3 linked regions of the Arabidopsis thaliana genome follow. The protein of the gene in region 1 interacts with the protein of each later gene in a pairwise test. Each region holds a gene or a part of one and is shown on either strand. Other genes may lie near its edges.

Region 1 (10,860 bases):
TTCACCTTCCTCTAAAAATTCCTCCAATTCTTTTATCTTGAAGAACTTATCCTCTATTCCTTCATTGTCTCCATCCTTCTCCTCCTCCTCCTCCTCCTCTTCCTCCTCTTCTTCTTCCTCGTCCTCTTCCTCTTCCTCTTCATCTTCTCCTTCGCTGTCATTAGATTCTATCTCTTTATCCTCATCATCAACATCATCCGAGTCAAAACCATCCATATCCATCTCATCAATATCATCTTCATGAGAAACCTTAAGGGCCAACTTCCCAAGTTTACGAATCTCTTCAGGGTTTTTAGCAAATCTCTTGACTTCCTGCCGCAAGCTAGTCAACAAAGGTTGAGATTGCATATCAATTTGCTGCCAAATCTGCTCCGCATCAAACCCATCAGAAGAGAGCTGATCAAATGGACATTTAGGGTTATGCGGCTTCAACTTCATGAATAGATACTGAGATGCAGAGCGAGCATCCTCAGATATTGAACTTGGCGCTAGAAAAACTGGTGGCTCTGTTGCCTTAAGCTTCTCAAGGGCTTCAAACCCCGAATCCTTTACCGTAGCCATTGATTGAGCTTCCTCAGTGCCCTCGAAATTAGGGTTCCTTCGATTTGACGAAAACAGTAGAGTATATCAATGGCGGTGCCGAAGGTGGTTTAAACGGCGGTTAGGTTTTAGAAGAGGAACAGGGACAAGAGAAACCTCAATGGTATCTCTCCAAAACCCTGCGAGTTTTACCCCTTAGTCATTGGGCCAATATATGGGCCTTTAACATTGTGAATTGGCCCAAATCGTAATTCAGACATTAAAAATCCACATTTGTCTGAAACTTGTTTAAACTGCAAAAACTTTGACACATTTCAATTGCTTTATGAGAGTTTGAAATCTGAAAACATCATCACTACTTAAAAACATGATACGATAAATCTGTGTTTTACCAAATTACAAAATAAATGATTGATTAGAGAGATTCAAAAGTATTCCTACATAATCAAAAAGGGACTTGAGCTACAACAACACATCGTTTATGAATTTTTCTGTGAGTTCTTTAGGAAGTCCCATGACTGTATCAACCCCTCCCACCTACAATAACATTACAACAAAACTCTTTTTAGTGGAGTGTTATCATATAAACATCTCTTTGAACATCTATCTTAATGATATGCTGAAACAAAACTAATCAAACAAGTGTAGATCAAAGACGCGAGCTTTTTGTATTAAGGGAACTAACCACAGAATCGATAAAGGGTGAAATGAGGGGATGCTCCAGTGTTAAACCTCCAGCAACCTTATAAGTTATTGCATCATCAATCTGAAGATTGAATAGAACACACAAACTTTATATGTCAAAACAAACTAAGTTCAAGAGATCGATAGTAAGAAGAAGAGTGGTTTTAGAAGTTTTACAAGACCGTCAATGACTTGTTCTGGTATCTCATGGAAATAAACCTGCATCACCACAACATTCACATCACCACAAATTGTTCAATCCACAAGAAAATTTGACAAAACAGAAAGAAAAGTTTATATCTGCGTACCTCAGCTTTGTCCCATCCTCCTTTTTTAACTCCAGTTTTCAAGTTTCTAACAAGAACAGATCCCACAACTCCTCCGTGTGAACCGGAATAGCCTGTGTAGATTACAAACAAAACGCTTAAACACAACCATGATCAGCCTTACAAGTGGCTTATAGTATCATAGAACACATGTACATAGTTAACTTGTACGAAACCTTTGATAAATTCACGAGCTTCTTCTTTAGTGGTTGGTTTTTCTCTAATAACACCTTTGTACACAACAACCTAATAAACTCCATCACCATAACATCAGCTAAAGATACCAAAAAGTTAACATTCTAATCAAAAAGTGTTGAGGCATCAAAGCATACAGTGTCTGCAGTAATCAAAAGAGTTGGTTGAGGATCTTTTGCAAACTGGCTCTCACCTCCCAATTTCGATATAATCTCATTTGCCTAGTCAAAACAATTACCATCATCATAAATTGAAAAGACATTGAATCAAGATTACAAAACCCTAGAGTATTATTATGTACCTTGGCTTCAGCAAGAGCCACAACCAAATCTTCAGGCTTCTCTGTCCTAATAGCTTTCTCATCAATGTCTGCAGTCTTAAAAAAAACATAATCCCCAGCCAAACTCAATTTATGTTATGAACATCCATAGCAAAACAATAATAATCACAATTTGAACATACCACGATAGTGTAATCATATCCCATTTCAGCCAAAATCCTCTTTCTCGCCATGGATTGAGAACCCAGAATCAGCTTCACGTTTGAGCATATTTCGCATTTCATCAGCATTTTCCCATTGATTTTTTTTCAAATTTCTACCAAAAAGGGAAGAAATAGCAGAGAGAGAGACAAACCTTAAATCCTCTCTCCATGGCCTTGGTCGTCATCGTGGTGTTGTGCTCTAAGCGGAATAGTGAAGAAGGAAATATAACAAAAATTAACAAAATTCGTAGAAAGAATTTGTGTGTCTTTAAGCCCATGTCCAATCCACACGCTTCTTCTACTTTCAAGAATAACTCTTAACAATTCCCTTCAACTTTATCTTTATCTTTTTTTATATTTTTTCAATCTATGAAGAATATTATTGTAATACTCCATTTTCATTTATCATAAGTTTTAACTATAGCTTTATTATGAAAATTTTAAATAAAATCCATCTTTTCCATGTACAGTTTTTTACTATTTTTAACAATAGTTTAACATTACCGTTACATTATAGTTATATATATTTTTTGTCATCTCACCAATCACAACCAAACCTTTCACATGGAATTAGGCTATCTAGCTAATTAGTCATGGAAAATTAGGTTATCTAGCTAAAAAATCTTCATTCTTGCAATGATAGTAAGAAATTGGAATTCTTTATATTGGAATTTTTGTCTTCCCGAAAATGGTGTTTGTGAAAAGAAAAATATGTAAAGTTGATCCTCCATTCTTTATCACAGCCTGTAATCTGTATGATCCAATAAGAAGATGTCACATGTAAATGTAAAATAGGTATTCAAATTGTGGAAAAGAAAAATAGGTATTCAAATGGGGCATAGTTATCGACCAAAAAAAAATGGGGAATAGTTTACAAGCCATAAAAACAATTGGGCCTATTTGTAAGGCCTTACAGCTATTTGAATTATTTTATAAATTATCAAACATTATTGGTGATAAAGCAATTTACGTTTTTCAAAGGGGTTGCAATTATAAATACCCTTGGGCCTGTTTTTGAGCTTCTCGCACATATGGAAGTTATTGTGAAAATCGTACAACTACTAGGACTATTTTATAAATACTAAACACTACCGGGGAGAAAGTAACAGAGATAGAACAAGTGACATAGACTCTGAGTGAAGGAGTTGAAACGTGTATGACCAGTGGAAGAAATGGGACGCGGTGGTGATCGGCGCCCACGTTGTGTATCACGACCATCTCTACGAACAAACATCTCCTCAAAACGATGTGTTTTGATGATGACAAGGATGCAGCCAGAGGGGAAGAAGTTAACATTCCTGATGGCTCCTCTAAGAAGATGGCCTAGAAGAAAGAATATGTCTTCTTCAAGAAAGCTCGAAAGCTCTTCGATATTGACGTTATACTTGACTCTGATGTTCCTCAAGAAGGTTCCAGAATCAGCGTTGTGGTTTACCGTTTCGCCACGAAACAGCCAAATCAAAATGGTTTGATTGTTTCGTGTGTGCAGTTGCAAAAATGTTTGTCATGTCTATTCAAGTCTATTCATGGAAATTATAAGCATTTAAGACTATTCAGAGTCTACGTAAAGTCCAAAAGAAAAAAATCAAACGAAGCAGCCTCTGAACAAGGGTAACTTCCTACCCATAGAATTTTAGATTCTTAAATGAATGTTTGCTTCTTTTGGAGTTTGTGGTCTAAACTTTCGTTGACCGTTTATTGTATATCAAATGGTTTGTTTAATTTAAGCGAGCTACTAGACTAGTAGTTTGTGATATAGTGTATGTCAATTAAGGATAAACACAAATGTTACATTTATGTGATTGATATTCTGTTTTTTTCTAAAAATTGACAGAAGCGTTTTAGTTGTGAACAAATTTCAACGTATATGTTAACTAATGTTTAATGGTGTGAAAGTTTGAAATGGACGAGACGATGTGAGGAGAATATGAAACCACAATTGTTTAGTCTTTCGTAACTTTATAAAGCCAACATTCCATCAAATGATATTTCTCCTAACACGAGATCATAAGGAATAAGATAAAGCAAAAGAGATGAAGGAAAAATGAATGACTTCCAAAGTTCTCTTCGCAAAAGTCTACGCTTACTTTGATTGTGTTTCTTTTGTTGTCTTGTGCTATTAGTAGATGGAGTCCAAGATATTGCATCCATGCTTAAAAAGATCAAGAATACACCACATGTTTTTGGGGGAAAAGTATATTAAAGCCCAAAAGAATGTTTTGGAATAAGTATATATATATTTTGATACGATTTTTGTTTCATAAATGGAAAGCCAAAAAAATGAAACTATCATACTAAGAAGTTACATATTAATAGACGTATCTTACATCTTCATAAACTCCCAAAAAACCCTAAACCTAAGTGAAGAAAATGTGTACTAGTATGAGATGATAGATGAACATATTTAGATAAGCATTAAAAACATGAAAGGAAATGTTTGTAACAATCAATTCCAAAGAGGGGTCTACTACAAACATATATAATAAACACGAGCAACCGTAATGTTTGCTTCCACATTCAAAATTTCAAAAAGGTCGAATTATTAGTGTATTGTTTTTGTTTGTTTGGTTTTAGACTGTGGATGAACAAATCAATGCATTGATAATTGCACATACTTTTTTCTTTTCTCTTGCTACTCACTTTACATCTGTAAATATTGCAATAAATTTCATATATATATATATATATAAATTTAGAAAAACACCAATTAATGTCTCCTTGCAGTCCACATGGGCTTCCTAAACGTCAAATTTTCCCAATTTTCAGAATTAGGTGAAACGTTATTATATCTAAAAAACAGTCTAGATAATATGTCTGCCACTTAAACAAAAAGCAGCTTCCTCTTTTGTTTAGTTTTGATGATTTATCAAATGAATATCAATAAAAAAAATACGAATAAAATCAATTAATATACTTTGTAATATCAATTGAAACAATGCATTACACATTAAAAAAGAAATAGTAACACATAAAAAGAAACAGTGGAAAGCAGAAAACGAGAGGGGTGTGTATATATTACTAAAGAATTAGTTTAAATGATTAACAAATGAGTGGGATTTTTGCTTCTCCCAAAGCGTAATTTATCTGAAAATGTGTCTCGTGTTGAGAGTAGTTGAGATTCTTGCTGTTCTCCAACTAAACATTAACTTTTATTAAAATTAAAGAAAATAAAAAGATGGATCAAAAACGAGATCCCCTTTTTCGATATCCGAATAATGTTTTTCTTTGCTTTTAATGTGTCTCTTTCTTATGATTTAGGATTCCAATTCCTTCCCTTTCCCCTTCTTGTTCTCTCCATATTCTCCTCTTTAGAAAGAGATAGAGAGAGTCTTGTTTTTTTCCTGTCTTGAGTGATATTTTTTTCAGAGCCCTGAGTTGTTGTCTCCATTAATGGCGTCAGAGAAATCTACCTCCAAGGGCCAAGCATGGTGAAGATCAGCTAACACTTATCTTAACAATAATAATATTTTAAAATGTTGCCTAAAGAAATTTTCTCATTTCCTTTTTTTTTTCGTTTTGGTATCGTGATGCAGGTTTTGTACGACTGGGTTACCTAGTGACATTGAAATCGAAGTTGATGACATGACATTCCATCTCCATAAGGTGCGTTCACAAAAGCCTGAAGATTTGTCTTCTTCTTTGGCACTCTCTGTTTTTTCTTTGATTACTCACAAGATTTGTGTTGTTGTCTGTGGCTTTTCCAGTTTCCACTCATGTCAAAGAGCAGGAAACTTCACAGGTTGATTACAGAGCAAGAGACTAGATCTTCCTCTTCCATGGCGCTGATAACTGTAATAGACCCAAAAGTAGAAGAGACTGACAAGAAAGGTAAAGGCCATGAAATCGAGGACGATAAAGAAGAAGAAGAAGTGGAAGAGCAGGAGATCGAAGAAAATGGTTATCCTCACATCAAACTCGAGGATTTTCCCGGTAGTTCAGAGAGCTTTGAGATGGTGGCGAAGTTCTGCTACGGCGTCAAGATGGACCTCTCTGCTTCCACCGTTGTTCCACTTCGTTGCGCCGCCGAACACCTCGAAATGACGGAAGAGTATTCACCAGATAACCTAATTTCCAAGACTGAGAGGTTTCTCTCTCATTCCGTCTACAAGAGCTTGCGTGAATCCATTAAAGCTCTCAAAGCTTGTGAGTCAGTCTCTCCTTTAGCCGGATCGCTTGGTATAACGGAACAGTGCATCGACTCTATAGTCTCCAGAGCTTCCTCAGCTGATCCTTCACTCTTCGGTTGGCCAGTAAACGATGGCGGCGGAAGAGGAAACATCTCCGCCACCGATCTGCAACTTATACCCGGCGGCGCGGCGAAATCTCGAAAGAAACCGAGTAGAGATTCGAACATGGAGCTGTGGTTTGAAGATCTGACGCAACTGAGTCTTCCGATCTTCAAAACTGTGATCCTATCAATGAGATCAGGAGATCTGAGCTCCGATATCATAGAGAGCTGTTTGATTTGTTACGCTAAGAAGCACATTCCCGGGATTCTACGTTCTAACCGGAAACCGCCATCGTCATCTTCAACCGCAGTTTCAGAGAATGAACAGAGAGAACTACTGGAAACAATAACCTCTAATCTTCCATTAGATAAAAGCTCCATCTCCTCAACAACGAGATTCCTCTTCGGCTTATTACGAACCGCAATCATCCTCAACGCCGCCGAGATTTGCCGTGATCTGCTGGAGAGAAAGATCGGATCGCAGCTAGAGAGAGCCACGCTCGACGATTTGCTCGTCCCTAGCTACTCATACCTCAACGAGACTTTATACGATGTTGATTTGGTAGAGAGAATCTTAGGCCACTTTCTCGACACCTTGGAACAATCCAACACCGCCATAGTCGAAGTTGACGGAAAATCTCCGTCGCTGATGCTCGTCGGGAAATTAATCGACGGATTTCTCGCGGAGATCGCATCGGACGCTAATCTCAAATCGGATAAGTTCTACAATCTAGCCATCTCACTCCCAGATCAAGCTCGTCTCTATGATGACGGACTTTACAGAGCCGTCGACGTATATCTCAAGGTATAACAATAAAATTCAATGTGAAGAGAAGATCGGAGAATTTGGATCTGATTTGTTTTGAAAATTTCGTTTTCTTCAATAGGCGCATCCATGGGTATCGGAAGCAGAGAGAGAGAAAATATGCGGCGTGATGGATTGTCAGAAACTGACGTTGGAAGCGTGCACACACGCCGCGCAAAACGAGCGGCTTCCGCTACGAGCCGTCGTACAAGTTCTCTTCTTCGAGCAGTTACAACTCCGGCACGCGATCGCCGGGACGTTATTAGCTGCTCAATCGCCGTCTACGTCACAGTCAACGGAGCCAAGACCGTCAGCGGCAATAAGGAATCTAACGATAACGGAAGAGGACGGTGATGAAGCGGAAGGAGAAAGACAGGTGGACGCTGGGAAATGGAAGAAGACGGTTAGAGAGAATCAGGTGCTTCGCTTGGATATGGATACGATGAGGACGCGTGTTCATCGGTTAGAGAGAGAGTGCTCGAACATGAAGAAAGTGATCGCGAAGATTGATAAGGAAGGTTCATCACCGGCGACGACGACTGATCGGCCGAGAAGTTGGTCGATTACCAAAAAATTCGGATGTAAATTCAAGACACAGGTCTGCGATTCACACGAAGCAACGATGGTTGATCATAGATCACGACGGTCTTGAATTGTTTTCGATTGATTTTACTCTTTTTAGTACAGAATCAGAAAGCATATTGTTGTGATTCTTGGATTTTAGTTTTTGTTAATCCTTCGAGATTCTTGCTATGCGACTGCTCTACACAAATGTGCATCGTTTTGAGTCTTGTACTCGAATTAGTAAAACCAGAAATGACATACGGCACAAAGCCCATCGTTAAACGTTTCGAATTGAGCCCTTTTCTCGACTTCCTCCGAATGGGCCGTAACAATGGGCTTCAGTTGCCCTTATCTATCGTAAACTGGGCACTGTTTTGGAGAGAAATTGTTTCATATTTGTGGAATGTGCGCCGTTTTAACGTAGGAAAAGAGGGACGAACTACTCGCTGTTCAGAATCGGTAGTAGGACTTCATGTCGTTTTATAAAGGAGAGTTCCTAAAAACCTAAACCCTACTTTAGTTCTACTATATAAATCAACCGGCTTTGGCTGAGAAGAAGCCATTAGCACAATCCGAGTACCGAATCAAACCTAAGTCTCTGTAAATTTCCTCGTTTTCCGTAGATTTAGTTCTTTGTCATCCCATCTTATTAGGGTTATTCGTTTAATTTCGTTTGAATCAGTTGATACTCTCTGATTTTCCAATATGTGTTTGAATCGGCATATTAATCTTTGATCGACTCGATTTTGTGTTTTTAGAAAATAATTTAGATTTTTTTAGAGAAGGAAAAATATTCTCAGTGATGAAGAAACAATAGATGACGAGTCCGATGAAATCCATTCATAAAATCGTGGGGACAAACGAGGCATTTGTCTGAGAGGATTATTTTTCTTCGTTTTAGCATTCTAAAATATCTAGGTTTTAGGAACGTGTATAAAGGGGATTTCTCAGTGATGAAGGAACAATAGATGACGAGTCCGATGAAATCCATTCATTAAATCATGGGGACAAACGAGGCATTTGTCTGAGAGGAATCCTTTTTGTTCAATTAGTTTTGTTTTAATTAGACTTAGCAGGAAGAAGAAAGGCATGATGAGGATTGTTTTATTGTCATCTGATTCTTATTGATGAATCTATACCTCCTACTCATTCTGAGTGCCTTCTCTTGCTCTTAATTTTCAGTCACAGATATCATTGCATTAGTAGTCACTAAATTCGGATTCAATTATATTGACTCTAGGGAACACTACATTTCAAGTGAATCTACAGATACTCTAATAATATAACACAATCTGCTAAGACCAAGTGATAAACCAATTGAACTAACAAAAAAAATAAGTTTATGAAATCATAACTATTTCTTGATATTAAAAAATAACAGCAAAGATGCCAAGTTCATATAACATAAGGCCTTCAAGGAGAAACCATAACTTGTAATTTCAAACTGTATACTGGAAAGCAGACTGTGCTCAATGTGGTTTTGGATAATTCCCTGCATCCTAGTCCTGAAGTTGAAGCAAAACCTCTAGTATTGGCATTCTTACATATGATGAGTTAATTTCTGAGAGGGACGTACATTCTGATTCAGGCTCTAAAGGATCGATTAAGATTTTTAATTTATCAGGACCAAATCAGAAAAAATTTATATGATTTCTATCTGTATACTTAGAACAGCATCCATAAAAGAAAAATGTTGTTGAAGATCAATTGGACATTGGACAAAAACCTAGTGGGCCGGGCCTTCTTTGCATCTACTACTTGAAAGCCTTAAAAAAGAAAATTAATTGAAAATTAAATTTTACATTTAAGTGTTAGCATCCAAGGCCCATTAGCTCAGTTGGTTAGAGCGTCGTGCTAATAACGCGAAGGTCGCAGGTTCGAAACCTGCATGGGCCACCTTTAATGTTTTTACAACATAACAATTTTTGATTATTTTATACTATTATACAGGTCAGCACCCCTGACTGAGACAGTATCCATATCTCCACTTCAGATTTCGACACGTGGCAACAAAAAAAACCAGACACTCCGATTCCCACGAAACAAACCAATCAAAATCGTTGCCTTATCCCAATCTTATCTCAGCCCTTTTGATTATTACTCTTTAGTCTTTACTTTGCTCACAGCTTTGGATCACCAAAAAAAAAACTCAAGAGAGACTTTGTGGCCATGGCAGCCTCTCTCCAATCCACCGCTACATTCCTCCAGTCGGCGAAGATCGCCACCGCTCCTTCTCGCGGAAGTTCTCACCTCCGATCGACTCAAGCCGTCGGCAAATCTTTTGGGCTCGAAACTTCCTCGGCTCGCCTCACTTGCTCCTTCCAGTCTGACTTTAAGGACTTCACCGGTAAATGCTCCGACGCTGTCAAAATCGCCGGATTCGCTCTTGCCACCTCTGCTCTCGTCGTCTCGGTAACTTTCTTTAATCTCCGACTCTCCTTTAAAACTATAGATTAATCAAGAAAAAAAAGGAGAATTGAGTAACAGAGAAGAAGAGTATTTTGTTGTGTTTGTGATAACATGTTTATGATTTGCATTACTATGTATCGAAGTTGGCACTTGAGAACACCTAAACCAATAACAGACTCGGATAGTATAATAGAAGGAGAAACCGCTATTCCAATTCTGTAATCTTCGATTCATGTAGATACAATCTTCTTGGATCAGTGAGTTTGATTTAAAGTTGCTTGTTTCTCGTGTAATGAAAGGGAGCAAGTGCGGAGGGAGCTCCAAAGAGATTGACCTATGATGAGATTCAGAGCAAGACATACATGGAAGTGAAAGGAACTGGAACGGCTAACCAGTGCCCTACTATTGACGGTGGCTCTGAGACTTTCTCGTTCAAACCCGGAAAGTATGCAGGAAAGAAGTTCTGCTTCGAGCCTACTTCCTTCACCGTCAAGGCAGACAGTGTAAGCAAGAACGCTCCTCCAGAGTTCCAGAACACAAAGCTCATGACCCGTCTTACCTACACCCTTGACGAGATCGAAGGACCCTTCGAGGTTCGATTTCGCGTCTTTGCTTAGACTGCAAGA
Region 2 (10,234 bases), 3.1 Mb from region 1:
TGATAATTAGGAAGGAAAACACAGTTAGAATCATTATTAAACTGTTGAAGTTACCATTTCCTTTGACGGGAGTGCACATTCTTGTGATCAACTGTGTAATCATGAAGCTGATAGATTCTTCAACAGATTCTAAGTTCCTTCCCATCGATATTAACTTCTTCAGTGAAGCTTGAGTATGCCAAACAGAGCATTAATTCATAAGTGCAAACCAGGTTTATATTAAAGGAAATGCAGCTCAGGACTTAAATAATTTGTTTGCAACTCGGGAACTTTGAATAATATTACCGAATATGAAATCTACAGCCTGATGTGACCAATTGCTGAAGTTAGAGTCCTGCAGAATATAAGAAGCAAGTTCAGAGTTGCAAAGCATTTAAGAGTGCGTGCATATTACCAGAAAAAAACTTAAGCAACAAAGCCTAACATTGGAGTCTGCTTCAGACAGTTCCAGGAGAAAATCTATAGAGATCCTAAGATGTTCTGCTTCCTCTTCATAATCCGGTTCTGCAGTCAAAGTTTCAACTCAAATAAAAAAGAGTCCCAGAATATGAAATGATGGTGCTTGGTTACATAGACTCTGTTTTCCACTTCTCTCTCCCATATAGCACATTACGTCATATTATGATATGTTCTTGTATTGCTTTAAGGAAATTGAAACTCTGAGATAATAGACGCTAAACCAGGAAAAGGAAGACCCTAAACAAACCTGAGGGCTGCAATCTTTGAGATGATCGAGTTAACTTCCTTCTGCTCCTTCTCCGCGCTAAGGATAAAATGACAACACAAGCTGATAAGTTAAGCCCACAAACACAAAGGTAACAAAGAGAATACAAAATGTTCAAGCTACCAGACTGATGAACCTAAGAATAGGAAAAGAGACCTAGTCTGAGAAATCTACGACGAAGAACATCATTAAATCTCGATTCAGAGGCTTCTCCAATCCTCCTACCGCTGAATACTCCCAAGTTATCAAAGAAATAACACTTGCAAGAAGCATTCGCTGGGAATAAGTCACGATGAAAAGAACCTATAATTGACACAAAATGCATTAATAGAAAGACCAATCAGTTCTAGAAACATCTTGCAGCCTTTCCATTTTAAGAATCAATAAATACAGAAACGAATTTTTGCAAAAGTTAAGAGAGGCAGAAAAAAATACTTTCAGCATCCTTGAGATCTTCCTGGAGTCTGATAATCTCTTTCTTCCTCTCTTTAGCCTAATTTCAAAATCGAAAATCTCACTATGTTAGAACCTCCGTCTCGCAACAATTAGAGCTGACCTAGATTTCTAAACGAAGAACAGAAATCGAAATGTAGCCTAGAATTCGTAGATTTCACCAGATATATATATCAGATAGTTCGCAACGAGAAGGCCATTAAAACCAAATGCAAAAAAAAATAAAAAAAAATCGAGAAGTTTCACCTTCTGCTTCCAGCGAAGTGCATCAGATTCAGAAGAAACATAACAACGGGAAGTAGAAGAAGAAGATTGATGATTCTGAAACTTAGATCGTAGCAGAGAAACAGCGATTGCCAGTCTCAGCGACTCTTCCTTCTCTGTGTGATTTGCTTCAGCTACGCTTGAACTCATTTTTGTTTAAAATTGAAAAAAAAAAAAAAAAGTATTTTAGTTTTCAGGATAATAACTAATGATTCTCTGTCCTGCGCGGGAGAGTTTTTGTGACGCTTTACAAAGCCCACTCAGGCCCATTGATCAAACTTGATAAAGCTTAAGGTCGAATGAATCATTTACTCAACTAATGTTAGCTCAGAATCAGATAGGAATAATAGGAAGACGATGATCAAACATTTCCAATGTAATTATCTGAACCGACCAGTTTATAGGGGTCTCAAGTCTCAACAACAATCAACTGAATATAATAACTGAGACCGTAAAACAAAAATGCAAAGGTCAAAAAAAGACAAGTCACAGAAGAATACAAAAAAGGACATGGACTCATGCCCACAAAGAAGAGTGGTGAGAATAATGTCATAAGAAAAAGCTTCAACGAAGAGCAAAACTATTTTTGAGTTCTGAGAATCCTTTTCTCCTCCTCCTTCAAGCTTACAACACAACATTCATCGCACAAGCATAAGACCCAGAGAGAGCAAAATCGTCAAGTAATGATTCCTTTTACAGATTCCGACAAGCCTCTATGTCTGCAGCCTGTGAGGCCAACAAGGACTTCCCCTGCTCGCTTGACTCCACAATGCGTACAGCTGCATCGACCACCATCTTCTGGAACCTATCGTCTTCCATCTTCCCTATAATTTCTCTAACCAATTTGAAATCCACACCACCAGCCAGAATCAGCTTTCCCACAATCTCACCAAAATTGTTTGGTGCCTTAGGAAGATCAATTCCAATGTCGTCCAACATAGCACCGTAGAGCAAGAACCCAGTTTCAAGATCCTTGGGTGCGACTACCTTCTTTGATAACAAATACTCCAAGAGTGTAGCAATTGGCTCAACGACAGGCGGGCTTTTCTCAAGAGACAGGGATATTGCTTCCTTCACAAACTCTGGGTGATATGACGGCAAACCAAGCTCCTCTACACACTGCAGAGCTTCACCAAGTAGTCGGACATTGAAATATTCCTCGAGAAGCGACTTTGTTTTTCTTTGGAGCACTTCTTCGCTCAACTTGGGACCACTAGGCTGTGGTTTCTCCACCGGAACTGGTACGGTCAGAGGTGCAACTGACTGTGCTGGCCGTTCTGCTGACACGGTAACTGGACGCGACACTGAACCACTTCCCTGCAACAGTGCGCTTGTCTTGCCACTCATAATGCCACTGCTGCCTTGAGGTAAGAGCCTCGTGTTCATTGAGGCCGACTTGCTCACTGCTGGAGAATGTAGAGGTCCTGGCCCATCGCGTCTAGACATTGATCTTGTCCGGGGTACCTCCCAGTTATCATTGTCCACTCCGGGCATCCCAGGCATCCTTCGCGTCCCAGGCATACCAGGCATCAAGCCACCCGCACCAGGTCGCCCACCAGGGTAGACAGGGCCAGGGCTCACAGGCCCACCACTAGAAACCATACCCCTTCTCATATTTGCAGTGGCACCTGGTCGGAGACCAAGATTCTTCTCTGCCTCAGTATGTATTTCGGTTATAGTTCTTGCTTTCATCTGCACGAGTAATGTAAATAGAACATTAGAATCACTACACAATGGAGCAGGAAACAAGTCTCAACCTTGTAAAACCTAGAATACCTCTTCCCGCCTTGGAACCCAGCCATTGGAGCGCATGTCGATGATATTCTGAACCATGAATCTCAGACGCAGTTCCAACTGAGGATTCTTTGACAGAGCCTGTAGGCGTTTGAAATATACATCATTAATCCGTTTTGACTTCACGTTTCCGTCAAGTTGTTTGCCAATAGTTTTGAAGAAATGACAAATAGCTTCGACATTTTCCTCGGCTGGACAAACTTTCTCATCGGCCCCCAGAAGCTCCTGTGCACAGAACAAATTAAGAAAGGTTAATGCTAGATACCAAAATAAAAGAAGTCTAAGAAAATGTGTAAGCTTATAGGTGTTAACCTGAACAATGTGATGAACAATCTTTTCTGGGACCATCTTCTGCTTCAAAAGCTCACCAATCAAACGAATATTTCCTAGAGTCTTGAGCTTCAACAATTTTTCTTTGTCATTCCGCTCAGCCTCCTGATCTGGAGCACTCATCTGTCTAAGCTCCTCCCTCAACTGAGAAGCGCCCTCAAATGCCTCTTGACAGATATTCAGTAGAACCCTCTTAAATGTAATCTCCTTATCCCCAGGCTCTGCAGGTGGGAAGGTGGGCAGCTGGTCGTTGATATCAGAGCACAATTTTGCATACATAGGGCAAAAGGTCGGCTCAAGGACAGCTTTGTCAAAAATAAGGGTAATCACACCCTACAAATGAAAGAAAAGAACACGGGTTAGCCACACAAACAGCCTAGATGATTCAAACAAGACTTCATCTATGCTTGAGACATAGCATACACCTTCAGGATATCAGCAGATGTGATGCCAGATTCAATAAGTTGGCCCTTGAGAAGGTCATACTTTTCAGGGGTTAGCTTGTTCAGTATCCTGGACAAGAAAAGTATATCTTTGTAAGTGTGCATAGTCTATTTTAAAGATTTCATGTTGGCAGTAAAGGAAAGTTATACAAAAGTCTAGACAACTAATAACTGTCACAACGGCATTACCCTTTCACAGTCTTCAGAACACGATCATTTTCAGAAAGGTTTCCTCTTCTAGCTGACCAAGGAACTTCGGCTTTGACGAGGACAGGAGCTGGTCCACCCTGGTTCCACACGATATACAAATAAGTAAGAAAAATAAGAAATCATGCCAGAATGTAAAGGGCTAAGAAGAGGGAAAAACATTCATCTATTGATCAATTACCCCTTGGTTGGATGATATGTTTGCCCTTGAAAACTGGGAATTAGGTTGGTCTTGACGATTATATTGACTTGCTTCAACATACCTGGAATCTTTAGCTTCACGAAGATTATCCCACGACCTTTCCTCCCCAGAGGGTGGAGGTTGAGTAGAACGGCTACGCCAATCACGAGAGTCTGGCTCAGAGAAGCGACTTGCGGATTGAACGGGAACCTGAACCATTAAAATAAAAGATATGTGTTAAAAGTGAAACTTCATGAAACTATACCAAAATGCAAAATTTATGTTTCAACAAAACTATACCAAATTGCTTACGACACTTTCTCCACGTGCCCAAGTCCCTTCCTCACCAAACAGTTCAGCTGCAGTTTCCCGTTGGACTCTCAGAATTTCATCAGAGAGTTGAGTGGTCTGTATATATGCACAGACGTCAATGACCTCAACTAAGGAAGAACAAATACGAACAGCAGAAACTAAACCGGCTTTAATCCTATATTATTTAACTGGGATAATCACCTCTTTAAGCTCCAGGAGCTGCTCACGGGTGTACTTCACACGTTCACGGCCATCGAACCTCGAGTCTCCACCCTGAAACAAAAGCACAACCCAGGATAAATCTTCATTAACTAACACCCAATACACAAAATCATATAAGAAATAACGTATAAAGGAGACAAGGAACCACGAGTACTCAGTACAAAAGAAAGAGAGGAATAATTCTTTAACCATAAGGCCGAAATGAGTGATGAACTAAAGAAAAACTAGAAGAAATGTCAGTAGGTCCTTTATGAGCAAATAGCAGCTAACAAAATGCCCACCTAAAAGCCTACATATCATTATACGTCCATATTTACAGCAGAAACACATACTTGCGTGCGCCACTAAGAATCAGGACAAACAAACTGCTTGCATTACTCGTATTGACATATAAACCTATGAAGTTCAATTATGTATGTTGCAGACACCTATCAAAATCCAACATGAGCTCAGTAGTTATTACAAACACAAAGCATTAAAACTCGCAAATCAGAAAGATATTAGCCAATTCAGACATTTGAGAGAATCAAATCAGCAATATACCAAAGATTATAATTCCAAACAAAAAGGCTGCTGATTGCGACAAACCCGTAAAAAAGGATAAATTTTTAGCTCAAGCTAAGACAAGAGAGATAAAACAAATTCTAAATCAGAGGAAGAAGAGGGAGTTAGATCCAAATTTAGAGAGGGGACCCAGAAATGAGGGTACCTTGAAGGGAAAAGAGGAAGCAGGAGCACCACCATGAGGACGAAGGAGAGGTAGATCCGAAGATGAAAGAGAGCCAAAAGAGAGAGACGAAGAAGAAGAAGAGGAACCAAATAGTCTGTTTCCTCGACCGCCACCAGGTCTCAAGCTCAGAACCGTTTGATCGCCTTGCTGCATACCTCGATCTAATCCGCCTTAAGATCGAATCGAATCTCACAACAAAAATCGAAGAGAAAGGTAGAAGCTTTATCAGCGACGATGAATCGCTGACTCCGATAATCCAAGGAGAGGAGGGATCGGATTTCTGGGTCTCTCTCTCTCCTGCCGTTAGCGAAGAAGAGAAGAGAAGAGAAAAGTTGAGATTGAGAAATGAGAAGAAGAAGAAGAAGTCGAGAAGGAGACACAATCCCTTCTCTTTATTAGGGTTTTTTTCCTCTCTTTTTCCCGAACCAGACACACTTATAGCCTTAACGTTTTTTTCCGTTAAGATTACAGTTATGTCCTTTCATTTTGTTTTTTTGTCTCTTTATTTTGTCACCCTCATTGGGTTTTCCGTCAATGAACAATGTCAAATGGTAATAATGGAGCTTCCTCGGCTCGTGTTAGCTGCACCTCTAGCTCATTGTAAACATATTAAGAGACTGTAAAAACTACTAATCTGGCAAGTTGCAATCAAACTTCCACATCTCAATATCTTTACTTACAACAATTGTCTGTAACAAACTAAAGAGGCGTTAACACAAGCAGAGACGCAAAAGAAACAACTTCTGGCGTTTATAGACTCCTCCTTGTGTTTTGAATCAATACCTTCTCCTGAAGTTTCCTTGATACAGTAAGCAACTCTTCATGAAAGTGAGAAGTCGGTGGGCTGTGCAATGTTGACATCCTCAAACTCGTTATCATCTGCACATGGAAAAAAGAGATGCAATGCAATCATTATGCCGTTCATAGCTGTATAGATTCAGAATGCAATACAGCATCCTCAACAGTTGTGTAATCGAAACAAGGCTAAAAGAATAATAAGATTAGGAATCACATTCAGCTATATCACGGTCACAAAAGTTAGGCAAGACTCTTAAACATACCAAAAGATTATCCAGTGATAACAAAATAACTAAGATTCACAATAACAGGCTCAATTGAAGTCAATGGAGTTTGAAGGGTTCATATACCAAATAACATATAGAAAGATGAAGTGTGATAAGTAATTAACCAAGATGCATGATCCATTACGACATTTCAACAAGGAATTGAAAATTTCAGAATAAGAGGATCTAAGGTATAACCTTTCTTCAAAGTCAAAGCCACAACTGCATCATTCTCAACCTGAACAACCAAAAAAGAAGATGGTGACAAGCTTATAACTTTCAAATACACGCAAACGGAGGCAGTGGCTATGTGACCAAGTTCTTCTTTTAAACTTGAGCAATGACTCAAAAGATAAATATATTAGATAGTCAAACGTGTGATACCTTCTGATCTGCTAAGGATTTCGAATCCTCTAATACTTCTTCGGTAGACATTAAGACCAGACGCTGATTGTTAACTGGTTGCTCAATGAGAGCAAACAGTTTTTGCTTAACATCCAAAACAGTCTCTGTTGGATCACATTGGATAAAGTAAGTAGTTTTCATGCGCTTCACACGAATATACATAGCCTGCAAACAATATTACACAAGACTAATCAATACTACAACCAATATGGCCAAAATCTAACTTGTTCGATTGATTAAAGCAAAATTATTGCAAGACAAAAGTATCTCAACTTTTATTACTCCAAGAAGAACAGTAATAAATGTGATCAGGAAGCTGGAATTAAGAAGGGAAAAGATGTTCTCATTCCAAAAACATCTCTACTTCCCGTCAAATAAGCAAAGGATTGAATATACTAAGAACAATCAAACCCATCAAAGTGAACAAAAGAAGTAGAATGTTTACCATGGCAAGATAAGGATGAACAATTCACTCTTCTTCCGCTGCCGATTCACAAGACTTTAGAATCAAAATCTGTTCTAAGATGCCAATAAAAGATTAATCAGACTATCAGTGACAATTGACACACCTCAAAGAGTCAATTTAACTAAAGAGATGATCTAGTTATCCCCCAAATCTTTTCTTCTTTTGATATTCAAAAGAAAAGAAAAAAAAGCAAAGATTTTCAAAAATTACTGACTCAAATAACAAACAATGAAATCGACTTACCTAGATGGGTTAAGGACGAAAAAGTGACCACAAGAATGGATTAAGGATGAAATACTGGCAAAGAAATCAAAGTTGGCTTTTTTATAACTCGAGCTCAGAGCCCTACAAGGTAAGGAAGGAAGAAGAAAAATACCACTTTGGTGGCTTGTTTGGCTACAGATATAATACTAACATCGATTAGGCGTCGTACAAAACCCACTAAAAGACAGAGAGGGTTTGTTTTGTTTTAGGCTTTTATTTTTGATTGATTGAATATTAAAATACAATGCGAAAAGTCATATTGGGCTTATGGGCCGAATAACTTTATTTTATTTTTGTGGTGAAGTTAGGCCCAAATATTTTTTCGTCTTCTTCCAGTTCACGACTGAGATAATAATAATGCAAAGCAAGTTGCTATTTCCGAATGATCTCTCTCTCTCTATTCTTTTGAGTCCCAAACCCCATGGCAGGTTTGTCGCTGGAGTTTACAGTTAACACTTGGAATCTCAGGTCTCTCTCTCAAGTTCCATGTCCTTTAAGACATGGCTTTCGATTCCCGCGTCGGTTGACACGAAGAAGAACGATTCTCATGTGTTCTGGTTCGACATTTCTACCTTGTGTTCTCTCTTTTCTGATTTTTCTTCTGGATTGTGATTGGTGATGCATTTATTATAATCTTTTTAGGGTAATGTACACTTATTACCCTAAAAAAGAGATCAATTTGTTGATCGTTAAATTCCATAAGTGTTCTGGAATTGATGACAAAAATCTGCATTCGTTTCTCCACAGATTCAAGCTCTCAGTCGTGGAATGTTCCTGTTTTATCTAGCTATGAGGTAATTATGGTTTCTCTTTTATGTCTGTACTTATCAATCATATCTTTAACTCTTGAAACTGTTCACAATTTGTTAGCTAGAGATGTTTATTGACACAACCACCAGACATTTCTGTGTTTTGTCAATGAAATTATAGATGCAGCCCGTAATGAAGGATTGCGACATTTGTTTGTTATCCGTTTATGTTTAGAGGCGTTGATTGATTGAGTATCAGTGAAGTATGTTTGGTTTAAAAGGTTGGTGAGAGGCTAAAACTAGCAAGAGGAGGACAACAGTTCTTGGCCATGTACTCAAGTGTTGTTGATGGAATTACAACCGATCCAGCAGCGATGGTTCTTCCATTGGATGATCACATGGTTCACCGTGGTCATGGAGTCTTTGACACTGCCCTGATCATCAATGGGTTAGTCACTTTAAATAGTAGCCCCCTTTTCTAATTTGTCTTATTACTCAATCATCTGAGCTTCGCTTGTTGTCCTACGAATAAGCAGATACCTTTATGAATTGGATCAGCACCTTGACCGTATCTTGCGATCTGCATCAATGGCTAAGATCCCACTTCCATTCGATCGAGAAACTATTAAAAGAATTCTCATTCAAACCGTGAGCGTTTCTGGATGTAGAGATGGATCTCTAAGATACTGGCTCTCTGCAGGGCCAGGGGATTTCCTCCTATCTCCATCTCAATGTCTCAAACCAACTCTCTATGCCATTGTTATAAAAACGAACTTCGCCATTAACCCAATAGGTGTCAAGGTAGTGACCTCGTCCATCCCCATAAAGCCTCCAGAGTTTGCCACGGTGAAAAGTGTTAACTACCTCCCTAACGTACTCTCACAAATGGAAGCTGAGGCCAAAGGAGCTTATGCAGGTATTTGGGTGTGTAAAGATGGGTTTATTGCAGAAGGCCCGAACATGAATGTGGCGTTTGTTGTTAATGGTGGTAAGGAGCTTGTGATGCCGCGGTTTGATAACGTTTTGAGCGGATGTACAGCAAAGAGAACACTTACACTCGCTGAACAGCTTGTAAGCAAGGGGATTCTTAAAACTGTGAAAGTAATGGATGTGACAGTCGAAGATGGAAAGAAAGCAGATGAGATGATGCTTATTGGTAGTGGAATTCCGATCAGACCTGTGATTCAATGGGATGAAGAATTTATTGGTGAAGGTAAGTAAGATTATCATATAAACATTTTAAAAGCCTCACTTTTAATTACTTACATGATGGATAGATTGGCTGATTAAAGATGGGTTTCTTTCTGTCTGACTCAGGAAAAGAAGGTCCTATAGCAAAGGCGCTTCTTGATCTGTTACTTGAAGATATGAGATCTGGTCCACCTTCCGTTCGTGTTCTTGTTCCTTACTGAGCCAATCACTCTCTTTGTTCATCAAAGACAATAAGCTGTGGCTTTTTTGTAAAGCTTTGCTGTTATTGTAAGTTGAGTTTATCATGGGGTTTTTAGGTATCTGTCTTTGTAAAGATTTCTCTTTATCACTTTTGAATTATGATTGTACCCATTCTCAACAATTCATGGAGTGGTTGCGTCTAGTGCTCAAATTTCTTGTTTTTCATCTCTTATT
Region 3 (10,441 bases), on another chromosome or scaffold:
CAACTTCCGTGTATTCTCTTTAACAAATGAAATAGCTTCCTCAAGCTGCAGCAGTAAAATTAATCTTTAGTCAAGAAAAATCCAGCAATTACAGAGACTATCAAGGAAAAGACATAAATATTGTTTCTGATAAACCTCACGAGCATCACGATAGATATCAGATTTATTCAGAATAAACACAAATTTCTTTTTCCACTGCTGTGTGTACCGGAGAAACGCAACCTGACAAACGCAATGAGATGTAAATCAGCCTACAGTAAAATCAAGACAGCAGGAAGCTCCAGAGGTAGAGATAGAAATGACATGGGTATGATGACATTGAGAAGCTTATTCCTTCTTTTGAAACTTTTTCAGATTTTCAAAATAAGAACCAAATATTCATAAGGTTAGTACTTCGTAGATGATCATTTACATACAATTTGCCATGGACGTAAAATCAGTTTTGCTGTACCAATAACAACTCACCTCTCAAATGTATTGGCCTAAGCTTTACCAAAATATGGACCAACAGGACATACTGGTTCCAGCAATAGCTATAACACTCATTACTTTGAAAATAAATTAGTCTAGTTTAAATTTATAATCAACAAAACCTTGATATATGCATTCAACCTAGTGACAACTTTCCCTTCCCTACACAAGGTCTTGATGGTCTATACATGACTTAACTAACTACTTTCGTGAAAAATAGATCTAACAAGCTACTTAGGCAGATACATATTGAGCAAAAACAACAACAACTAACATGCCAAGTAAAACGGTAACTTCTACCTCACTTTCAGTTAAAGGGCGGTCAGCAGAAAGAACAAAAACAAGCAAATCTGCACGTGGAACAAATTCTTCTGTAAGACGCTGTTGCCTTTGAAGGATCACATTGGTCCCAGGTGTGTCAACAATATTTATCTGCTCGAAAGGAGAACAACCCAAATCAATTCCTCCAAATAATTAGTAAAAATTCAGGACTGCGATGGTAGAATTTTGAATTACTCACATCCTTAAGTATTGGTGCAGGAAGATAGCATACATATTGGCCATCTGGATGTGTTTGGCAACGTTGTTGCTCTTCGGATTCCAAGTCAGAGTAGCACAGAAACGTGATTTCATTGGTAGTGGGGACTACCCCTTCTTTCAGGTATCTCTTCCCAAGAAGTGCATTGATAACCGTTGATTTTCCAGAGTTAAATTCCCCCTAGTACCAGCAAATTGTGGATTCCAATTAATTATCCATACAAAAACTATTTTGAATCATAAAGGCAACTTGTCCCACTTAAAACATCTTCCAAGAACGGCATACTCACAAGTCACAAGAAAGCGAAAAAACTATGTACACAAGCAGATGGTACAGTTAAGAAATATGCAGTTCCCTTACAACCAGATCCATAAGCAAATTAAGAAGAGAAGCATAGACAGAACAAAAGAAGAAGCGAAACATCATAGTCATAGGCGACGAAAGAAGATATTGAGAAGCACTAAAGGACAAGTGACTAGAAGCATGCCCATTGTATCTCAAGCTATCTAGTGCTGGCAAAAGTGTGTAACTAAAATGTTTCTGGAATGAATATAGAGCTAATACCAATGCAAATTCCTGGAATCACAATTTGACGGAGTTGAGTGCAGAATTACCACTATAACCATCAGAAACGGCTCATCGATCCGAGAAACAGCATCAATTAGAAGGGAGACTTCCTCCATCTGTTAATGAAAAATAGTCGAAGAAGTAAATGAAACCATATTATAACCACACAAAAACCTACTTAGAACCATTTCAAAAAATTGACTTCAACTACCAAATGTTTGAAATAAAAATCACCAGTGGAGCCGCCTTGTGGATGATTTCAATCGTCTCTCTCAACACAGATTTCTCCATTTCTACTATTAGTTTCTGTTTGTCCTCTAATTTTATGAAGCCAGCAGAATTCTTTTTCTCCGGCAGTTCATTCATATTTTGTGTCTCATGATTATTTACAACATAAGCTCCATCAAGACTCTGGCGAAGAGCTACATCCCTAGAAGAACGCAAATCTTTCAACGAAATAACAAAACCAGAAACACCTGATTTCAGTAACTGCAATTCTTCTTTAGCTTCTTCATTGCCTCTGCAAGTCACATATATCGGTATTTTCACGCTCTTCAACAAAGAATCCGCCACTTGCGTATCTTCTTCACCAGATCCAAGTATAAGGAAATCAGCACCCTCGGAGCTTGAGGCAATTAGAGCAGAATCAACATCCTTCACAATCCGAGCTACCAGTGGAAGAAGTACCGAGTCGGGGTTGGATCCCATCAATGTGTTTCTCGCCACAATCGCCGGAAGACCTGTACATAGCATTGAGAGACAAAACTCACTCTATGAGAAATTAAATGCTAAAACTGAATGAAATCAGTTGTTACCTTCGTCGGAGAGAGCAACACCACTAGCACCAACGGCGGAGGCGATATCAACACGTTCAGCGATCAAGAGGTAAGCACGGCCTTTGACAAGTGATTTCAGCAAACAAGCCGCCTCGTAGAGCTTACCAGCGGTGGCTCCGCCATCAATCACGACGATTTGAACCGATTTAGCTAAAGCACGGTCGACCAAATCAAGAGTCTCTTCACGATTCCCGCTCATAACCTCGTCGGCGTCTAGCCGGAGAAGTAAACCGGGAACGGCGAGTTCGGGACGCTTGTAACCACCAGGATAAAGAGTTCGCGGCCTAGAAGAAGAAGTCTGATCGGCGGATTCATGCGAAATGTTTCTGATCGAGAGAGAAGAAAAACGCCTATGACGTGGAGGAGTAAAGGAGGATAACTTAAAGCACCGGCCAGGAAACGGTGGAGATGCGGCGGAGATAAGAAACGGTGACGTCACACATTGCCGGTGAGAGATTAGAGTTCTCATGGAGAGAGAAAGAGAGAGAGTGAGATACCTTCGTCTGTGTTTCTGATTAGTTTTCTTATCTCTTAAATATCCTATTGGCCCATCCCAAAGCTATAAGACGGACGGCGCGATTAATTACTTTTCAAACACATGAATTAACGTTTTCACATATGTGTTCATATCCAAAAGGTCCAAAGTATACCACGAAAAGGGAGAAAAACAGATTTAAATTCGTGAAATCCCTCTCCCACAATTAAATTTACTTCTTCCAAACAAAGACAAACGGCTTGAACCAGTCAAGTAAGTGATACGGCACCACTAGATGTTCCAGAGCCTCCATCTTTTTTAATACGAAGAAGATTTGTCCTTTGTGTGTATGAATTTAACAAGTTTTAATTATAGATTTGTGTGTGTATGAATTTAAAAACCTAGTACGTAGCATCAGGGAATGATATCATAGCTATTTTAGTTGAGCTTTCAAATAAGAGATGATCAAAATTTAGAACTTCTAAGAACATGAACGAATAAACAACTATTTTCTTTTCAAACCAACTAAGGTAGATGGTCACTGAAAGTATATACATCAGATAAAAGTTGCTTGTTATTCCAGATGAAGTTGGACCGAGAAAAAAAAAAGTTACTTGTTATTCAATATGTTTGGATCTTTGTCTTGCAGATTGCTATATAGGGTTGATAATGGGCTTCGTTGTAATGGGTATACAGTGTATAAGAATCGGCCTTGTGCAACCAATCCTAATATGTGTGTCTCATTAAGGTAAGTGCTTAAGATTAGAAGAGTAAAACACTTGACTTATCAACTATGTCAACTAAGGGTTCTATATTTTTATTAAATAAAAAATAATTGAATATTTTTTAGAATGATTTAATAAATTTAATGCTATTGTTTGATTTAAATGTATAATTCACCGCGAGAAGAAATTTTATAACTCAAATTTTAAAGTTTTAAGTTGTATTTGTTTATTTTGTTAAATGTTTAATATTGTATAATTGTATTTTGATTGTTGTTTCTCGGATTTCACCCGTAGTACATCATCCCATATTAATATCGAATCAAACCCGTCAATTCTAAAATTTCACCCGTGGTAGTATTTAATTGTATAATTATATTTTAATTGTCATTCTAAGATTTCACTCCTAATTCTATCGCAAATTATTATCAACCCAAACCAGTCAATTCTAAAATATCACCCGTAGTACACCATCCCATATTAATATCGAATCAAGCCCGTCAATTCTAGGATTTCACCCGTGGTAGTATTTAATTGTATAATTATATTTTAATTGTCATTCTAGGATTTCACTCCTAATTCTATCGCAAATTATTATCAACCCAAACCAGTCAATTCTAAAATATCACCCGTAGTACACCATCCCATATTAATATCGATTCAAACTCGTCAATTCTAGGATTTCGCTCGTGGTAGTATTTAATTGTATAATTATATTTTAATTGTCATTTTAACTCCTAGTTCTATCGCAAATTCTTATCAACCCAAACAGTCAATTCTAAAATTTCACCCGTAGTATAAAGTTTAAATATTTATAATATTTAAATTTCTTATAAAAGAATCAAAATGTGTTTTAAAAAAATTAAAGTTTTAAGTTTTTTTTTTTTAATATTGTTAATTTTGTTTAGTGTTTAAGATTATATAATTACATTATGATTGTCATTATATGTTTTTCTCCATAGCATACTATCCCATGTTATTATCCACTCAAACCTGTCACACCATATAACCCCGTCCCGTGAAATTAAACACAAATTTGTCATTTTATTATAAATTTCAAATATTTATAAAATTAGAAACTTCAAAAAAGATTAATATTGACCCAAACTTCATCATTGAATTTTGAGTGTTATATCTAAGATTTCTCTCGCAATATATCGTCCCGTATTAATATCTTTTATATTGTTTAAATTTCTTGTAAAATTTAATTTATAATTTTTTAAACTTTTTAAAGTTTCAATTTTTTAAAATAAATAACCCTAGGAAACAAACCATTTTAATTTAAAGATAAACTTTATAAAAAGTTTTTAAAATTATAATATTTAACTTTTGATAAAGTTATAATATTTATAATTTCTTGAAACATTTTAAAGTTTCAATTCTTTAAAATAATAAATCCGAGTAAAATCAGATAACTATTTTAATTTTGGACGCTTGATAAATCAAGCTTCCTGCTCATTCGTAATCAGAATCATTTTGGTCCTTTTATAATATGGGTCTGAACCATTGTCCAATTTTTCTAAGCGATGTGGGACATTGTACACATATTATTTCTTCATAGGTTGAATAATATATGTCCGTTTAAAAAACTTTGAATTACATCATATTCAGAAAAAAATATAATATTTTATTAACTATATATATTTTATATAAATTCAAAATAAATAAAGTATAAGATCAAATAAAAATGAAAGAAGAATTATATATTTATGTTTAAATTAGGTAGAAATATTTTAGGAAATTGGTTAAGGTAAATAAGAAATATGGTTAGTTTAGAGATATTGTTTATATTAAATCATTAATTTTCGTTTTTAATTATTAGTTTTTAGGTAACTTTTCCAAAAATTAATGTTATCCAATATCAGAACAGAATTAAACATGTTATCCAGGATCCGAACAGAGTTAAACCGGGTAAAACCCAACCATTTGAATTAATTGTTGAATTATGGCTCAAATCTTCAACATTATCTTCAAAAATCTCCTCCAAAAATGTATATATAGATTAAAGTTTAATCAAAACTAATTATAAATTTGTGTGGAAGAAAACGAAACATAATAGTTCAAATACGAAACAACAGGAATAGTAACATCATCTAAAGGCTCTTGGAGAAATTTTTAATGCAGATAACAATTGTGAACCAAGTTAGGGTCTTAATCATACTCTAATTCATCAGGTGTGATAGGTCTCTTGAGAGGAATCACAGACTTTTTCTCTACATCTCTTGATAATGCCTTCCTCATATCTGTTTTTTTAGATCAAACGATTTAAGATTTAAACAAAAGAAAAAGTTAAGCGCGAATCATAGATAAAAAGAAGTTAATCAAAGCCTCACCTAATCCATCTTCCTCTCCTGAATAATAGCGTAAAACCCGCCTATAAATTATGTATCCAAGCTGCCAGAAAAAGGAGAAACGGTTTGTTTCATCAAAATGGCCATCAAGAAGAAGCCTATGAAGGAGATTTGACACTAATAAATGGAAATATGTAAAATGTGTGCATGTCCCATTTACAACTTCTTCTTTTTTTCCTACAATGTCATCAACATTATGAGGCTTCTAATCAATTTCATAATCCTAATATATTACCTTTTCATACATCTTGATGGCTGGTGTGTTGGAAGCTCTTACAAAAAGATCCACAAAGTAGGCTTTATCACTGCAATCAATAACCACAAGTATAATAATCATTAGAAGACCAGAAATTACCAGATAATATATAAAATCAATGAGGAGAAATTCAAGATTTTCTTCCTTTGAAACAATCTAAATATATCGGTTTTCAAATAAATAAATGGTCCACTCGAAAGCCAATATCAATATATTAAGGCTTTCATATTTTATATCATAACGATCCATATCAAAGAGAACACTAAAACTTGAGATGCTTTGTAATTGTTAAGTCTTACATCTTATCACTTATATCTTCCAGAAGGTTCATCAGTTTCTTTGCAAGTTGCTGCCTGCGGTATTCTGGAGAGACAGTGACGGCTGTCACATGACCATGCCAAGATTCACCCTGTCCTTCAACTTTACCCATAACTGAAACCATGTAGAATCTTAGTTAGACACATGCTTTTAAAATTATATTTATAAGAACAAGTTTTACATATGTCACTTACGTTGGATTCTCAAGAATATCAACCATAACATTTCAACTATACAAAAGAACATTTCAGTGACACTGCTTAATTTTCAAATGTGTTAATATCCAAAAGCTTAGTTTTACTCTCAGTTCTTTCAATGGTTTCACTATACTTCCAAGGTCTCTTTCCAAACTATACCACGAAAAGGGAGAAAAACAGGTATAGTAATAGGGCACCACGAGAACAGAACGTCAATAATGAAGCATATATCGTACTTGAAGAAAATAAAGAAAGATAAAGCCTTGTATAAATCACATTTCGAACCAATCCAATAAGGTATAGCATCATTATACTACAAACACTGAAAGACAGAAAAATTTGAGCCTTGATATAACTCATAACTCATTCTCTGGACATTTAGAAGTTAGCACAAACAATCTTAAGCCATGCTTCCTATGCATCTTCTACCCCATATCAAGATTTCTAAAACCGCTAACTACAGAGACTAGGACTAATACAAGCAGAATTTGTTTAAACACTTATACATCCTGGTTTGTGTTAATCAGTTTTCAAACAGAGTCACTCTTCCTGGTTTTAACAACATTCAAGCTATCTCCATCTGATAACCAAAAAAAATCAATAGTGGCTTTTACACTAACAGTTTATCATCTAAGTTTCAACCCTAAAAGTAAACATAATCTCCACGAATTTCAAATTCCTAAACCAACGAAGACATAAAGAAATCAAAACGAAGAGAACAAGAGGATTACTTACTATAACCCATGACACGATTGCCGGGACCTTCAGCAACATGAAAATAGTCAGGCCATCTCGCTAAATAGGTCATGTAGAAGGACATATTGAACTGTTTCACGAAACAAAATTCGAACAAAAATCAACAAAATCGCCATAGCAAAACAAAGCAATAATCAGACGAAACCAGATAATAAGAAGAAGAAACACGAGATTACTGTTTCAGTGAGGTGGTCCAGATTCACGGAAGTGAATCGGAGAAGGTCATTGCAGCTGAATCTACGTATCGTCGTCATCTCTTCTTTTTCTCAAATCCCTTCGAGCTTCGTCAGATTCTCTGGAAAAAGAAAGAGGAGACAACAACAAAGCAATATACATGGCCCAGTTAGAAAATTAATAAAGCCCATTTATATTTGGGCCTATAACACTGATGACGTCATGTAAAAGATGATCAAATTTCATTATCTCCCGTCGTCGCGACCTTCTCAGACAACAGAACCAAATCCTCGGCGGCGATTGAAGAAACCTTTCCGATGGATCTGCTCAGGGAAGAGATTCTGAAGAAACGTAAGAGTCTAGCTGAGGAATCTGGTGGTAAGAAGTTCTTCAAGCGGTCTGAGATCGAGCAGAAGAAAATCCAGAAGCTTCGAGAGGAAGAACGACGCGAGCACGAGCTTAAGGCTCAGCGGAGAGCCGCCGCCGCCGCTTCCGGTGGAGATGGAAAATCATCCGGCTCTGCTCCTGGTTCTTCTAACGCAGCTACGTCTGCGTCTTCCAAATCCTCTGCATCGGACGCTGCTGCTATCGCCGATTCAAAAGCCCTAACCGACGAAAACCTAATTCTCCCGAGGCAGGAAGTGATTCGTCGTTTGAGATTCCTTAAGCAGCCGATGACTCTCTTCGGAGAAGATGATCAATCGCGGCTCGATCGACTCAAGTACGTTTTGAAGGAAGGATTGTTCGAGGTTGATAGTGATATGACTGAAGGACAGACGAATGATTTCTTGCGTGACATCGCAGAGCTTAAGAAGAGGCAGAAGAGTGGTATGATGGGAGATAGGAAGAGGAAGAGTAGAGATGAGAGAGGAAGAGACGAAGGTGATAGAGGTGAAACAAGGGAAGATGAACTTAGTGGTGGTGAATCGAGTGATGTTGATGCTGATAAAGATATGAAACGTTTGAAAGCTAACTTTGAGGATCTATGCGATGAGGATAAGATCCTTGTGTTTTATAAGAAGCTGTTGATTGAATGGAAACAGGAGCTTGATGCGATGGAGAACACTGAGAGGAGAACTGCAAAAGGGAAACAGATGGTAGCCACTTTTAAGCAGTGTGCTAGGTATCTAGTTCCTCTCTTCAACTTATGCAGGAAGAAGGTAAAGATTCTTGCTTTCGATTGTTAATTAGGTGTAAATCATTGTTTGGCAAGAAAATTGTTAGGGAGATTATCTCTGTTTATGAAATTGGAGATAGATTATCTCAGTTCTATCTAATAAGCTTAGAGAACTATGTTTATTAAGCATAGTTTGGGTAGGAAGACCAATGTGCAGTGTTTAGGTTCCATTAGTTTGTGTACTTTTGATTATATGGCGACAAGGACGAGTTTTCTAATAAGTTCTAGTGCTAGGTAGACAATGAGAACGTAGAATAGCAAGTTGGAATCTGTATGCACCTTGAATTTGCCATTGAGGCCTCTGTTAGTTATCTCCATTTAGCTGAAGAAAAATAGGCTGGAATGTTGAATGCAGAAAAAGTTTCTCTCTTTCTGTCTTTGTCTTATAAGTGTTAAGAATGTATACTTTCTTACACTGAAATTTTATGAGGTTTCGTGAACTTGATCTTTCTAGTTATGGCTTAAAATTGCAGGGTTTACCAGCTGACATTCGTCAAGCTTTAATGGTGATGGTTAACCACTGCATAAAGCGAGACTACCTTGCTGCAATGGACCACTACATCAAACTAGCTATCGGGAACGCGCCATGGCCTATTGGAGTGACTATGGTTGGTATTCACGAACGTTCAGCTCGAGAGAAGATTTACACCAACAGTGTTGCTCACATCATGAACGATGAAACCACTCGCAAGTATCTTCAGTCAGTTAAAAGACTGATGACTTTCTGTCAAAGACGTTATCCAACTATGCCTTCTAAAGCCGTTGAGTTCAATAGCTTAGCCAACGGAAGCGACTTACAGTCTTTGCTAGCCGAAGAGAGATTCTTTGGTGGTAATCGTGAACAGGTCTCAGAGGAGAGACTCCGGCTCATGCCTTCTCAGAGCGAAAGCTAGTCTTACTGTGTTTTCTGCTTTGTTGTGTTTTTATTTTTGTATCAAAACGTTGACTCTGTATTATCGTCTATTTAAAACGTTGACCTGATTGTCTAGTCTTATGTGGCATGTGGGAAACATATCCAAACTCATAAAACGACATGGCCTAAAGATCTAGTAAGGGTAAGAGGAGAATCGAATCTTGGAACCTTATTGGTCCAAATGGTATGATCACCTTATCCCAAAATGTTCGATTCTCATCTACCCTCTCGTTGTCAGATTCTATTAAGCCATTTCATCTCTATCCATTTACTCCACAGAGAAAGATTCAGAGAAAACAGAAGAAACTATGGCAACTCAAGCCGCCGGAATCTTCAGCCCCGCCATAACAACCACTACTTCCGCCGTCAAGAAACTCCACCTCTTCTCATCAAGCCACCGTCCCAAGTCTCTCTCCTTCACCAAAACCGCCATCCGCGCCGAGAAAACAGAGTCCTCCTCTGCTGCCCCAGCCGTGAAAGAAGCTCCAGTTGGATTCACTCCCCCGCAGCTAGACCCAAACACACCATCACCAATCTTCGCCGGAAGCACAGGAGGTCTCCTCCGTAAAGCACAAGTAGAGGAATTTTACGTGATCACATGGAACTCACCGAAAGAACAAATCTTTGAGATGCCAACAGGAGGAGCTGCGATAATGAGAGAAGGACCGAATCTATTGAAACTGGCGAGGA

Evidence for each region.
Region 2: the proteins of AT5G66560 (region 1) and AT5G57860 interact in a two-hybrid assay, tested with the Arabidopsis thaliana proteins (one large-scale study listed by BioGRID).
Region 3: the proteins of AT5G66560 (region 1) and AT1G03140 interact in a two-hybrid assay, tested with the Arabidopsis thaliana proteins (one large-scale study listed by BioGRID).

Annotation. Positions count from the first base shown.
Region 1 is NC_003076.8:26,558,750-26,569,609, forward strand, and holds AT5G66560 (Phototropic-responsive NPH3 family protein), read left to right. Parts: upstream 1-5,438; 5' UTR 5,439-5,618; coding exon 5,619-5,656; exon of another isoform or gene 5,657-5,761; coding exon 5,762-5,831; exon of another isoform or gene 5,832-5,932; coding exon 5,933-7,261; coding exon of another isoform or gene 7,262-7,267; exon of another isoform or gene 7,268-7,343; coding exon 7,344-7,913; 3' UTR 7,914-8,104; downstream 8,105-10,860. Other genes in the region: AT5G66540 (U3 small nucleolar ribonucleoprotein), read right to left, coding at 1-561; AT5G66550 (Maf-like protein), read right to left, coding at 1,003-1,077, 1,226-1,306, 1,402-1,443, 1,533-1,624, 1,727-1,796, 1,883-1,966, 2,047-2,121, 2,208-2,279 and 1 more; PSBO1 (PS II oxygen-evolving complex 1), read left to right, coding at 9,995-10,237, 10,534-10,827. UniProt on the Arabidopsis thaliana protein: May act as a substrate-specific adapter of an E3 ubiquitin-protein ligase complex (CUL3-RBX1-BTB) which mediates the ubiquitination and subsequent proteasomal degradation of target proteins.
Region 2 is NC_003076.8:23,435,334-23,445,567, reverse strand, and holds AT5G57860 (Ubiquitin-like superfamily protein), read right to left. Parts: upstream 8,015-10,234; 5' UTR 7,839-8,014; intron 7,649-7,838; exon of another isoform or gene 7,613-7,648; 5' UTR 7,578-7,612; coding exon 7,575-7,577; intron 7,295-7,574; coding exon 7,109-7,294; coding exon of another isoform or gene 7,094-7,108; exon of another isoform or gene 6,963-7,093; coding exon 6,923-6,962; intron 6,540-6,922; coding exon 6,481-6,539; 3' UTR 6,165-6,480; downstream 1-6,164. Other genes in the region: MPS1 (multipolar spindle 1), read right to left, coding at 55-168, 286-334, 425-504, 707-763, 881-1,027, 1,160-1,217, 1,424-1,591; eIFiso4G1 (MIF4G domain-containing protein / MA3 domain-containing protein), read right to left, coding at 2,135-3,133, 3,218-3,460, 3,548-3,898, 3,991-4,078, 4,198-4,295, 4,397-4,606, 4,697-4,804, 4,910-4,981 and 1 more; ADCL (D-aminoacid aminotransferase-like PLP-dependent enzymes superfamily protein), read left to right, coding at 8,281-8,416, 8,607-8,653, 8,890-9,056, 9,145-9,821, 9,926-10,020.
Region 3 is NC_003070.9:753,761-764,201, reverse strand, and holds AT1G03140 (splicing factor Prp18 family protein), read left to right. Parts: upstream 1-7,898; 5' UTR 7,899-7,978; coding exon 7,979-8,821; intron 8,822-9,311; coding exon 9,312-9,731; 3' UTR 9,732-9,941; downstream 9,942-10,441. Other genes in the region: FZL (FZO-like protein), read right to left, coding at 1-45, 136-222, 772-903, 992-1,189, 1,624-1,692, 1,811-2,316, 2,392-2,881; AT1G03150 (Acyl-CoA N-acyltransferases (NAT) superfamily protein), read right to left, coding at 5,761-5,852, 5,943-6,003, 6,196-6,265, 6,516-6,648, 7,467-7,557, 7,664-7,741; PSAD-2 (photosystem I subunit D-2), read left to right, coding at 10,060-10,441.